3 linked regions of the Saccharomyces cerevisiae S288C genome follow. The gene in region 2 interacts genetically with the main gene of each other region. Each region holds a gene or a part of one and is shown on either strand. Other genes may lie near its edges.

Region 1 (3,732 bases), on a different chromosome or scaffold from region 2:
GGATGCAAACATGCTCTTTTTAGACAGTTATTCTCTTCTAATACAATTTCAGCGTTTTAAAAATTGGGAAAGTCCTCGAAGATTTAGTAGTTCTTTTCCTTTGCTTTTGTTTGTTTTTAAACCGATATTTGCTGCTAAACTTCTTAAAGAGATTTGCTCTTCTGGTGTACTCTCTTATTCGTTATCATTTCTGAAAATTCCCCTTTCCGTGATGCGGGTAATACTAGGTCCCTTACCCGACGACAAGAAATTAAAAAATGACGCAAAATATTCATTTATGAACTATTTTATTATAACTTGTATAGGAATAATAATGTAGTGATGTAAATTTATGGGCCCCATTAAGCCATCAAAAATGGAATGTATGCCTATGCTCCTCTTCTGACATAACTGGCCAGAGGCGGGACCTTAGCGGAGGGACCATTGCTGAATCACAAATTCTCTCCACTTCCTTATTTTCCTTCATATAATAAGACATAAAAAACTTGTATATTATTAGGTATTTAGCTCGTTTATTTAGGACCTAGCATGTGTTCAGGAACAACCCATTCATCAAATTCCTTTTCAGTCAATACACCCAATTCCAATGCACTTTCCTTCAAGGTAATGCCCTTCTTATGAGCATTCTTGGCGACCTTGGAAGCGGCATCATAACCGATCTTAGGGTTCAAAGCGGTGACTAACATTAAAGATTTAGTCAACAACTCATGAATACGAGGCTCATTGGCTTTGATACCTTCAACACAGTGCACTCTAAATGAATATGCGGCATCAGTAATTAACCTGATCGAATTCAATAGATTGGCGATCATGACTGGCTTGAAGACATTTAACTCGAATTGACCTTGAGAGCCGGCAAACGTGATAGCTGCATTGTTACCCATGACTTGCACACACACTTGAGTCAATGCCTCGTTTTGGGTTGGGTTAACTTTACCAGGCATGATTGAGGAACCTGGTTCATTCTCTGGCAGCATTAGTTCATGGTAGCCGCAACGTGGCCCGGACCCTAAGTATCTTATATCTTGCGCTATTTTGAAAAGAGAACAAGCAAGGGTGTTTAGAGCACCGCTACATTCGACAATGGCGTCGTGAGCAGCCAAAGCCTCGAACTTATTAGGGGCGGTTTGAAACTTTAGTCCAGTTTCTTTGGAAATTTGCTCGGCTATCTTGACATCGAATCCGGGCTTGGTGTTCAACCCTGTACCAACGGCAGTACCACCTTGTGCCAGGAAACTCAATGTTTTCAAAGAATGTGCCACTCTTTGGATACCGTTCTCAACTTGTTGCACGTAACCGGAAAACTCTTGACCTAGTGTCAAAGGCGTGGCATCTTGCAAGTGTGTTCTACCGATCTTCACAATATGGTCAAATTCCTTGGATTTGGCTTCAAGGGCGTTCTTTAAATTGGTCAACTCAGGTATCAACTCGTTTTGAATTTGCAAACTGGCAGCGATATGCATGACAGTGGGGAAAGTATCATTGGATGATTGAGATTGGTTGCAATGATTGTTTGGATGGACTTGTTTAGATCCAATCTTGCCTCCTAGGATCTCAATGGCACGATTGGAAATAACTTCATTAGCATTCATGTTAGACTGGGTACCGGAACCCGTTTGGAAAACAACCAATGGAAAGTGGTCGTCTAGCTTACCAGAAGCCACTTCGTCAGCGGCCTGTTGAATAGCCTTGGAGATCTTGGGATCCAATCCCCCCAGAGACTCATTCACAATCGCGGCAGATTTCTTCAAAACACCAAATGCATGCACCAAAGGCAATGGCATTCTTTCACGAGCGCCACCAATCTTGAAGTTTTGAAAGGATCTTTGAGTTTGGGCACCCCAGTACTTATCAGCAGGCACGTGTATCTCACCAAATGCATCGGTTTCAGTTCTGAACGAGGAGTTCATTCTTCTTATATTAAGCTTATATGACGATTTTACGAAAGTCTTGCAACTACAATTGGTAAATCTCAACATGATTGTATCTCTTATCCGTTTAATAGTTAGACTTTATGGAATTTCTTGACGTGAGAAAAAAAACAGCTGCAGTACTAAAAGTCACGAATTTAAAAATGCAAAAAAATGACTGTATGTAATGGAGAAACGATATGAATATCCCAGAAGAAAGAGCTAGAGTCACTCCCCCGTGTGTTCGGTCCGGCCTCCTGTTGGATGCTTGTTTAACGTCTACAACAGTGATGAAGATTATATATAGCCTATAAGAAACGCAAAAAGGCTTTACAGGAAAGAGCCAATCATCGAACGCCCATTCCGGGAATCGGGGTAGTCATTCCGAGGATCGGCTCAGGGGAGGGGCCTGAAGCCTCTCCAATATGGTAGTGATAGCAAGAACTAGAGACATTTACTGCTAGCTTCCATAGCTCTCTAACCACAGGGTACGAATAATAACCATTATTAGGTACTGACATTATGATGTCGCCCGCGGCGATTCGGAAGGGTTTAAGGACACGTCTTAACAAATGGCATTACAGAATGGCTATAGGCGACTCACTACTATGTATTGACTATGTAGGAGATACCAAGCTTTGCTTTACGAGCCCTCTTTACTTTTTTTCTTGTATAGTTATAGTTAATGTAGTAGTCGCAATAACTGCGGTAGTAGTACTAACATCAGTAAAAGTAACGCTTGGTAGTTTTTCTGCCCGGTTTAACCATTGATTTGATGAAATTGTAGAAAACTGAAAAAAAAAAAAAAAATGAAAAAAAAAAATGATGAGCTTCTCGAAGAATACATTAACCACTTATAGGAAGGAGAAGAGATCTACTAGACTCGTAGAAGTGATTAATGGCAAAGAAGAATAAGAAGGATAAAGAGGCCAAAAAGGCACGTGCTGAACTGAAGAATCAGAAAAACCAAAAAAAGCAGGAGAAAAAGTTTCAGAAGAACAAGAATAAGTCTTTAAACGGCGAAGAAGATGATGAAAGTGATCAAGATCTCGATGAAATTCTCTCTAGCTTTAGCAAAAAGCAAATTGAATTAGAGCATGTAGACATCACTTCTGTGGAAAAACCCTCTTGTCGTACTCATCCGTTGATGTTTGCAAATCCGCAACACAATAAACATGAATTGTTCATTTTCGGTGGTGAATTTACAGATCCAGAAACCAAACTAACACATTTCTATAATGATTTGTATTCATACTCCATAAAGAACAACTCTTGGAAAAAATACGTTTCGCAAAATGCACCTTTGCCCAGATCCAGTGCCGCTGTCGCTGTGCATCCTTCCGGAATAGCACTGTTACACGGTGGTGAATTTTCGTCCCCAAAACAATCTAAATTCTACCACTATTCTGATACATGGCTGTTTGACTGCGTTGAAAGGAAATTCACTAAGTTGGAGTTTGGCGGTAGAGACTCTTCACCCAGCGCCAGATCAGGTCATAGAATTATTGCTTGGAAAAACTATTTCATATTATTTGGTGGATTTAGAGATTTGGGGAATGGTCAAACTTCTTACCTAAATGATTTGTGGTGTTTTGATATCTCAACCTACAAATGGACCAAATTGGAGACAAACAGCAAACCTGACGCTAGATCGGGTCATTGTTTCATTCCTACAGATAATTCTGCCATATTAATGGGTGGTTACTGTAAAATCATTGCCAAAAATAATAAAAATTTAATGAAGGGAAAAATCTTGAATGATGCATGGAAACTGAACTTAACGCCTGATCCAAAGAAGTGGCAGTGGGAAAAATTAAAGAAT
Region 2 (4,449 bases):
GGTTGGTCTACAATTATTCATGGATTGCATTCAGGACAACTTAACAGCAACTTCAACATCTTTGACATGCTCTTTACTGGAGCACTATTTCAAGTATCCCGAAAAAGAAGTGACCAATGGGATCAAGGCCGGATTACGATATATCAGAGATTTTCTTGCGAAGAACAAGATTATAGTGAAAAGTCAAAACGATGTTGATGCTCTGGTCGAGCAATTGACTATGTCCTCCTCAGACAGCCAAAGCATCAAAAGGGTTTTGAAAGCCATTAATTATGAATTGTTTTCGGATGACATTGTGCGGGTCATAAACGGCAACAAAACTTACGATGAGGTTGATGTATCCAAGGGTTGGAAATATCCAGCTGGTATTTTAGATAGTAATGAAGCCTATTTAAGGTCCCTGGAGTTGCCTACTAAGAAATTAGTTTCCATTGATAAAGATATGCTAGTTCTTATGTATGATGGGACGTTACGAGACGCTAATAAAATTCTACCCACGATAACGTATGCAAGAAAGTTGAGAAAATCTGTTCTCTTAATCGTTAACGGAGATTGCACAGGTGATGCATTAACATCCGTTACAATTAACAATAACAGAAACAAGAGAGAAAATAATGAAAGCCGAATAGTGGTTTTGAAGTACTCTAAAAAGGCGAACAATGACTTAGCGCCACAGGAGAATCTTGATTTTATAAAGTTCTTACGGTTGCCTTGCGGATATGACAGCATCTACTCACCAGAATATAGTCCTTTAGTGCCAAGCAAAATGTGTGCGGATAAATATTACGGCAGTATCGAATCCATAAAAGCGACCACAGGGGAGGCATTCTTATATAACTCCATTGATGCTGAAGCGATTCCAAATAAAGTTCCGAAATCCTTCCTCCAAAATACGGTCACTTTAAGCATTGGTGGACATAACGAAATCGAAATCGACAGAAGAAGAAATGCAATAGATAATTGCTTAAATAACGTCCTATGTCATGGGCTGGCCAAAGGTTTCATCCCAGGTTACGGCATCTCCCTACTGAAGGCAATTCCAGGTTTGAATGAACTGAAAGCAAATGAACCCAATTTCATGACTAAGGTAGGCATCAATGCTGTTTTATCAGCAGTTATTCTCCCATCAGAAGTGGCGTTTAAGAATGCATATGGGTACAACTATTATGAGATCAATAGCCTGATAGCAGGCGCTATAAACGAAAAATCGTTTCCAATGGCCAAGTTTTCTCCAAATTCAGAACCGGTGAACACAGTAAAGGATGGAAACTTGGAGCCATGGAGCAAAATGGATTCTTGTTTAGCCGGTGTAGAAACGTTCATTGAATTACTTACAAGCTGTAATACAATTATCACATGTGTATACAAAAAGCCTGAACGGCACAAAGCCTAGATAAAGCCCTTACATACTTTTAAATAGTCAGAATGAGTCATTGTAAATAGATATTGCCACGGCGCTGCCTTTTATCACTTTTACCTCTTCGTAAATATCTATTATTCCTGCTCAATTTCTCATATGCGGCTTCGGAAAAACTCGGGTTTTTCCACGCCTCAGCAGTAACTCCATCTACCTTTGGGGATTTGAACCATCTCATTCCAGTTTTGGATAACTGCGATTAGATTAAAATATTAAAAGATTATCGATTAGATAAGATAGAAACCAACAAAATTTGTTGTAATAGCTGTGTCCTTGTATCCTTAAAAGAAAACAGGGTTGAAGGCATATGTATTCACATCTTTCTAACTTGTTAACGTCTATGCTAGGACCGAAGTCAGAAAGCGATAAACATGCAAGCCCAAGGTTCACAATCGAATGTAGGGTCTTTGAGGAGTAATTGCTCTGACAATTCACTACCGAACAATCATGTTATGATGCACTGCGATGAAAGCAGCGGCAGCCCGCACAGCGAGCACAACGATTATAGTTACGAAAAGACCAATCTGGAAAGTACGGCATCAAATAGTCGTGAACACAGAGACAACCAGCTAAGTAGGTTGAAGAGTGAGGAATACGTTGTTCCAAAGAATCAACGTAGGGGACTATTGCCTCAACTCGCCATTATACCGGAGTTCAAGGATGCCAGAGATTATCCACCGATGATGAAAAAGATGATTGTCTTCTTGATTGCGTTTTCCTCCATGATGGGCCCCATGGGCACATCTATCATTTTTCCAGCGATCAACTCAATCACAACAGAATTTAAAACATCAGTGATTATGGTAAACGTTTCAATTGGTGTGTACCTTTTAAGTCTTGGTGTTTTCCCATTGTGGTGGTCTTCTCTATCCGAGCTAGAGGGCAGAAGAACTACTTACATAACTTCATTTGCATTATTGTTTGCATTTAATATCGGGTCTGCTCTAGCTCCTGATATCAACTCATTTATTGCCTTGAGAATGCTCTGTGGGGCTGCTTCTGCCAGTGTTCAAAGTGTAGGTGCTGGAACAGTGGCTGATTTATATATTAGCGAAGATAGAGGTAAAAATTTGAGTTATTACTATTTGGGTCCACTACTGGCGCCGCTACTATCTCCAATTTTTGGATCTTTGTTAGTGAATCGCTGGCCCTGGAGATCCACTCAATGGTTTATGGTTATTTTATCCGGATGTAATGTCATTCTTTTGACGGTGTTACTACCTGAAACATTAAGAAAACAAGATTCTAAAGGCGCTATCGCTCAAATTTTGGCTGAAAGACGTATTCAAGTAGACAATAACGAACGTGGAGAGATACAAGAAGATTATCAGAGGGGAGAAGATGAGACAGATCGAATTGAAAACCAAGTTGCCACATTATCTACTGAGAAGCATAACTACGTTGGAGAGGTAAGGGATCAAGACTCGCTAGATTTAGAAAGTCACTCTAGCCCCAATACTTATGATGGTCGAGCTGGAGAAACCCAATTGCAACGGATTTATACAGAGGCGAGTAGAAGTCTGTATGAATATCAGCTAGATGATAGCGGTATCGATGCAACAACAGCACAAGTTACGAGAATAAGATCAACAGATCCAAAGTTAGCGAGATCGATTCGAGAAAATAGTCTGAGAAAATTACAAACCAACCTGGAAGAGCAAGTCAAAAAAGTGCTATCCAGTAATGGAGGTGAAATCGCTCCTAAACAGGTATCAGCGGTGAGGAAGGTCTGGGACACCTTTTTTGTTTATTTTATCAAGCCTTTAAAATCATTGCACTTCCTAGAATATCCACCCGTGGCACTTGCAATAACATTTTCCGCAATTTCCTTTTCCACAGTATACTTTGTTAATATGACAGTTGAATATAAATATTCAAGGCCTCCTTACAACTTTAAACCATTATACATTGGTCTACTGTATATTCCGAATTCTGTAACATACTTTTTCGCCTCAATTTACGGTGGACGTTGGGTGGACATGCTTTTAAAAAGATACAAAGAGAAATATGGAATTCTTGCTCCTGAAGCTCGTATATCGTGGAATGTTGTTACATCTGTAATATCTTTCCCCATTGCGCTATTGATATTTGGCTGGTGCCTAGATAAAAAATGCCACTGGGTAACGCCACTAATTGGAACAGCCCTCTTTGGATATGCAGCTATGATGACAATTGGTGCTACCCTTTCCTATTTAGTCGATTCATTGCCGGGAAAGGGTGCCACCGGTGTTGCTTTGAATAATTTAATAAGGCAAATCTTGGCTGCAACCGCAGTCTTTGTCACCACACCCATGTTAAACGGTATGGGAACTGGGTGGGCTTTCACAATGCTGGCCTTTATCGTCTTGGGTGCTAGCAGTGTACTTATAATACTGAAAAAGCACGGTGATTACTGGAGAGAGAACTACGATTTACAAAAATTGTACGACAAAATTGATTAATCATATCGGTTAATAAGACGGAAGCGTAAATATTTTCATTGTAGACTTTTCATAGGGTGGCACATACATAGTTTACTTTAGTTTATGGTAAATCGTTATTGTGCTAAAAGTATTATTAAATAATGTTCAACAACATCTCAAGAGGCGAAAAACTCATCAGAAAAAGAAATATAAACGCGAAAGATCATTAATGAACACTAGCCAACAAAAAAAAAGGATATATCAGGTCCACTGGTATTGAGATTGCTAGCGAGGTCAATAAGCTGATGCTGCATCAAAAAATAGCTCATAAAGTTCGAAAAGTCGTCGTCCCAGGTATTTCCTTATTGATTTTCTTCCAGGGATGCCTTATTCTTTTGTTTCTCCAACTCACCTATAAGACTCTTTACTGTAGAAATGATATAAGGAAACAAATTGGTCTCAATAAAACCAAAAGATTATTTATTGTCTTGGTATCATCCATTTTGCATGTTGTCGCACCATCTGCAGTGAGAATTACCACTGAAAATTCCAGTGTTCCTAAAGGTACTTTTTTTTTAGACTTGAAGAAGAAAAGGATTCTTTCTCATCTAAAGTCCAATTCGGTGGCCA
Region 3 (4,713 bases), on a different chromosome or scaffold from region 2:
CACTTTTGTAGCTTTGCAATATATTCAAAGCGGACTGGATTCCTGGCGTTACAGAAAGCGGTACATCTTCCGGCATACCATTGATTTTGAAATCTGCTATCGCATCAATGTCTAGTTCCGTTTTTTCCGTGAGGTCCGTTGGTGGCTTTAAAAATTGACGATTTCTACCTCCTAATTTGCCCAGTATTCTGACTACGTTGTGGCTGATAGCATGATTAAATGGTTGAGGTTGCAGAAGGTTAAACAAGGCCTTCGAAACGTCATCGATTACCGGTTCGATTATAGGATCAAAATACTCGGCGGTCAAATTATCAATACATAATTCTAAGGTCCTTAAACCCTGCGAAACGAGATCAGGATATTGCTGTAATGCAAATACCAATGGTTTCATCAAAAATGGCAAATAAGGAGCAAGCACACTTAACCGAACTGGTACAGTGATGCATAATTCCACATAAAGTTCTCTCTCGTGGGGCAATCGTGCAGTAAGTATCATTTGGTTTAAAGATTGTAATAGCACCTGTAGTATGGGCTTAATCGATCTATATAAGTTTTCAAATCTGCCCCCACCTATACTTCTAAAAAGAGTTCTAATAAGATAAAAGTATACTAGAGGCTCTTCTGCTGTAGTTGAGTATTTCAGGGAGTTTAGAATTAGATCGTTTAAGTGTGGAAGAAGAACAACCTCATTGATATTGGGGAAAAGATTGACGGACATAAAGGACAATTTGAAAAGTCGTATTAGGACATTAGAAGTGTTAAAATCAACGTTTCCTAAATCTTTCAATTTCCCTTTCAAGAATCTTAAAAGGATGCCAGCAAAATTTGGGGAGGTTATTTCACTTGTTAAAAAGGATTGCGCGACATGTAGCAGCCCAGAATCCTCCAGCATTCTTTCATAGACAAATGGCAGTTCCTGTTCAATTATTTCATTAAAAGTGGCATTATCCATCTGCATAAACATAAATGCCAAATAGTCCATTAACTCACGAGCATCTTTGGTGGCTGAGACCGGTAGGCTGGGCATTGATATATCAAAATGTTTTTTTGTTGTTTCTGGAGATAATTTTTCATTATGATCTTTAAAAAATTTCAAACCAATAATACATTCGTGAAATAAATCCTTGAAAACAATGACTTCCTCATATGAAAAAACTCTAGAAACAGAAGCCCACAATTTAGGATTAGCAACCGTATATTCGTTAGGAGGTGGGTTAAAGACTTTTAAGTCATGAATTATTGTTTTTAAGAAAGACATTAAAGTTCTGTATAAGTAAAAAGCATCCTTGATGGGATCATTTGTTGGTGTGGGTAGTAATAATATAGGTGCGTAGTTTTTTATGTCAAACATTTCAACGTCATTCTTCACCACTTTGTCAGATTCTGTCATTTCAACATCGGGACTATCATTGATATCTTCTTTTTTAGGCTGTGGCATCAAATGGTCGTCATCGGATGGTTCCAGTACCTTCCTCATAAATTCCTCACTCTCTTTGTCATTATCCTGTATAGAGTTTTTGAGCTTTTCTGCTTTCTCCTTCTTATGCGTTTCGTATCTTCCATAGTACTTCATTATTGTATCGTACTGTCTGTTTAAGGTTTTAAATCTATTCATATATGAGTCAATGATTATCATTAACAATTTCTTTGCTCTAGGGGCCTCTTGTGGGTTCTCCTTTCCCAATTTTAATATTCTTTCAACTAAATTAAGCAGCAATTTTGCACTCATGATTTGTACAGTTAAGGCTAATGACTCATCCAATAGATATCCAGTGTAAATCTTTATTGTTTTTTCAATTTCACTTAGTTGTAATTCAGATCTTATATTATGAATGAAATCTGCCACAGTACTATAAGCCAGGGGCCTTAATGTTTCATGCATAGTAAAACCGTTACCAATAAGTATACGTTCGTCAAACAGATAGTCCAATTTGGGTAAAAAGAGCTTTTTGTAGTTTGTAGATAGAATGTGTCTAGTGGCATGCAAAAGTTCCTTCCTAGCAGATGATAGTTCAGAAGGGCAGTCTTGTAAAAGCCTTATGATTAAATCAGGAACAAAATTCACATAATCCTGCAAAAATTCAGGAGCGTATCCTCTAATGAATACGTAAGCCAAGAAAGACGTGGCCTTGATCTGGGCTAATATAAAATCACAGTAAGCCGGTCTGTTGATAATCTCCGTCGATATAGAAGTGAAATGTTCTCCCCGTGATTCCGCCTGTTCTCTCGCTTCCTGTTGTTGTTTAATTTGTATATTCAATAGATTCATAATAAGAGGAGTGAATTCCGGAAGCGAGGTGCTAGTCAACTGCTTGTAAGACGAATATAAAGTGACCATTGTAATAGGGCATTCAGAAAGGATTTTAAAGGAAAACATAGATGACCTCAACCCGTTTGATGAGGTAGAGTTTTCAAACCTTGGCTCCGTGGATGATTGTTTCGATGGAAAGTCCTTTTCTTCATCATTTTTGGAGAATTCATCGAGAAGTTCATCTGCCTGTGGTTCTTTTGGTGAATCCAAATCACCCTGTTCTGCTTTCCCGGCTTCATAAAACGTCTGGTTTATAAGGTTTGGTGTATTTTTATAAATCTGAATAATTATTCGTATGAAGGAGTCGAGTTTGTCCTGTAGTATTGATTTGAATGATTTGAAAAGTGTCGTCAGCACTTTCATACATAATATCCCATTTTCTTCGTTTTCCTTTGGTAGTACTGAAAGTAAAAACTCGAGCACTTCCATTGCGTAGGGTTGAAAGGTTTGGTTCATGAGACACCTGTTGAAAATATCAAGCATAGAGTTTCTCAACTTTTGTTCCGGTGAATGCGCATCATATGAAATAGGAACTTCCTTTAGCTGGTTTAGAAGTAAAGGTATCACAGCTTGTAAGAAAAAATGGTAATCCTCAGGAGAATTCAGTAATTCCATTATGTCGTACAATTCCGATAGAGTGGAATATCTCGATTGTAGAGTGGCATCATCATCGCGAAACCTACTGGCGAATTGCTCGATCTGCTCAGTGAGTGACATCGGCAAAATGCGGTATTCTTTGTAACTATGGAGATATCGTGTGATAGATCTTCTCTGAATTTAATCTTCTTTATGTAATTACGTGTGATACCTCCGATTTTGTTGGTGTTGTTTATTAGAATACAACTAAAAAAGGCTATTAAAGAAAAATGGTTCTTGAGCTTTTTTTTCAGTTTGACCTGGAAAACTGTCTGACCACGTGATCACTTACCAAATTAGGAAACACAAGATTCAAGGTGGTCTTTTGAACAATTGTTGGTTGAATTTGTAATTTGAGGGTACAATAAATGCAGACTGATTTGGTATTCGATACGTGCGTTAGCTATTTTCGTGCGTTTTGTTTGTTCCTATGATCTCAGCGGCGTCCAGATGCTAGTTGAAAAGGCATGAATTATGGCTTTGTCTTGAAATGCGCGTGTCCGTAAAATATTGTCTGGCAGAGTAGCGTACAATTCTTAGTTTTGGCTTTTTGATTCAAGTTGATCTTCAAATTTCACTTATTTGCGTTCTGGCGATCTATCTGAAGGAGTTGATTAGTGGCGGCTAAAAGTGATGCAGCTCGTCCTTCTGTTTGCCCTATTGAAGGTGAAGCCTTCCGTGCACAATGCGAAAAAAATGTTCTTTTTTTTCCTTCGTTTCGTCTCAACGTGGGAACGATCAAACTGGAAAAACCAAAGAGAAAAATGTTAGAAAATAAATAAATAAAAAAAACACGTACGCTGTAACAACTTAGGTCTGATTCAACCAAATCGGAGCTTGCAACTGAAGAAATTAGTAATTTTGAGGGTTACTAAGGAGGCCATTTGCAGAAGAATATTGGACCATCATGTCTCAGCAGAATATTTTGGCAGCTAGTGTTTCAGCGCTCTCTCTTGATGAATCTACTGTGCATACGGGCGGAGCATCTTCCAAAAAAAGTAGAAGACCTCACAGAGCATATCATAACTTTTCCTCGGGCACTGTTCCTACTTTGGGCAATTCACCCTACACTACACCCCAATTGAATCAGCAGGATGGTTTTCAACAACCTCAAGCCTTTACCCCTAAGCAATTTGGTGGCTTCAACAACGGTTCGGGTTCCGTTATGTCCACGCCTGTAATGGTGAGTCAAGAGCGATTCGGTGCGAGTGAGGCCTCCTCGCCATATGGTCAATCTATGCTTGATATGACAGCGCCTCAACCTACATCTCACATTGTTCCAACTCAAAGATTTGAAGATCAAGCTCAATATTTACAACGATCTTTCGAAACTTGTAGAGATTCTGTTCCGCCCTTGCCGACCACCCAGTTTTATTGTGTTGACCAAGGTTCATGTGATCCGCACTTGATGAGTTTATCCATGTACAACATCCCCGAAAGTGAACACTTGAGAGCCGCCACGAAGCTACCACTTGGATTAACCATCCAACCATTTTCCACTTTGACACCGAATGATGCAGAAGTTCCCACAATTCCATTACCAATGGATGGTACGCCTTTGCGTTGTAGACGTTGTCGTGCGTATGCTAATCCTAAATTTCAGTTCACTTATGATTCAAGTGTTATTTGTAATATTTGTAGAGTTAAGATGCAAGTTCCAGGTGAGCATTTTGCGCCCATGGGTCCCAATGGGCAACGAAGTGATTTGAACGAAAAATCAGAGTTATTGCACGGAACAGTCGATTTCTTGGTGCCAAGTATTTACA

What was found.
Region 1: mutations in QDR3 (region 2) and FUM1 together harm fitness more than expected from each alone (negative genetic interaction), as found in Saccharomyces cerevisiae (3 studies listed by BioGRID).
Region 3: mutations in QDR3 (region 2) and TRA1 impair growth when combined (synthetic growth defect), as found in Saccharomyces cerevisiae (one study listed by BioGRID).

What each region holds. Positions count from the first base shown.
Region 1 is NC_001148.4:45,583-49,314, reverse strand, and holds FUM1 (fumarase FUM1), read right to left. Parts: upstream 1,980-3,732; coding exon 513-1,979; downstream 1-512. Other genes in the region: CUB1 (Cub1p), read right to left, coding at 1-12; YPL261C (uncharacterized protein), read left to right, coding at 11-319; KEL3 (Kel3p), read left to right, coding at 2,809-3,732. UniProt on the Saccharomyces cerevisiae protein: Catalyzes the reversible stereospecific interconversion of fumarate to L-malate.
Region 2 is NC_001134.8:321,285-325,733, reverse strand, and holds QDR3 (Qdr3p), read left to right. Parts: upstream 1-1,788; coding exon 1,789-3,858; downstream 3,859-4,449. Other genes in the region: TCM62 (Tcm62p), read left to right, coding at 1-1,393; CST26 (putative acyltransferase), read left to right, coding at 4,125-4,449. UniProt on the Saccharomyces cerevisiae protein: Multidrug resistance transporter involved in resistance and adaptation to quinidine and to the herbicide barban (4-chloro-2-butynyl [3-chlorophenyl] carbamate).
Region 3 is NC_001140.6:301,076-305,788, reverse strand, and holds the start of TRA1 (histone acetyltransferase TRA1), read right to left. Parts: upstream 3,029-4,713; coding exon 1-3,028. Other genes in the region: SFB3 (Sfb3p), read left to right, coding at 3,855-4,713. UniProt on the Saccharomyces cerevisiae protein: Essential scaffold subunit of the transcription coactivator SAGA complex. SAGA acts as a general cofactor required for essentially all RNA polymerase II transcription.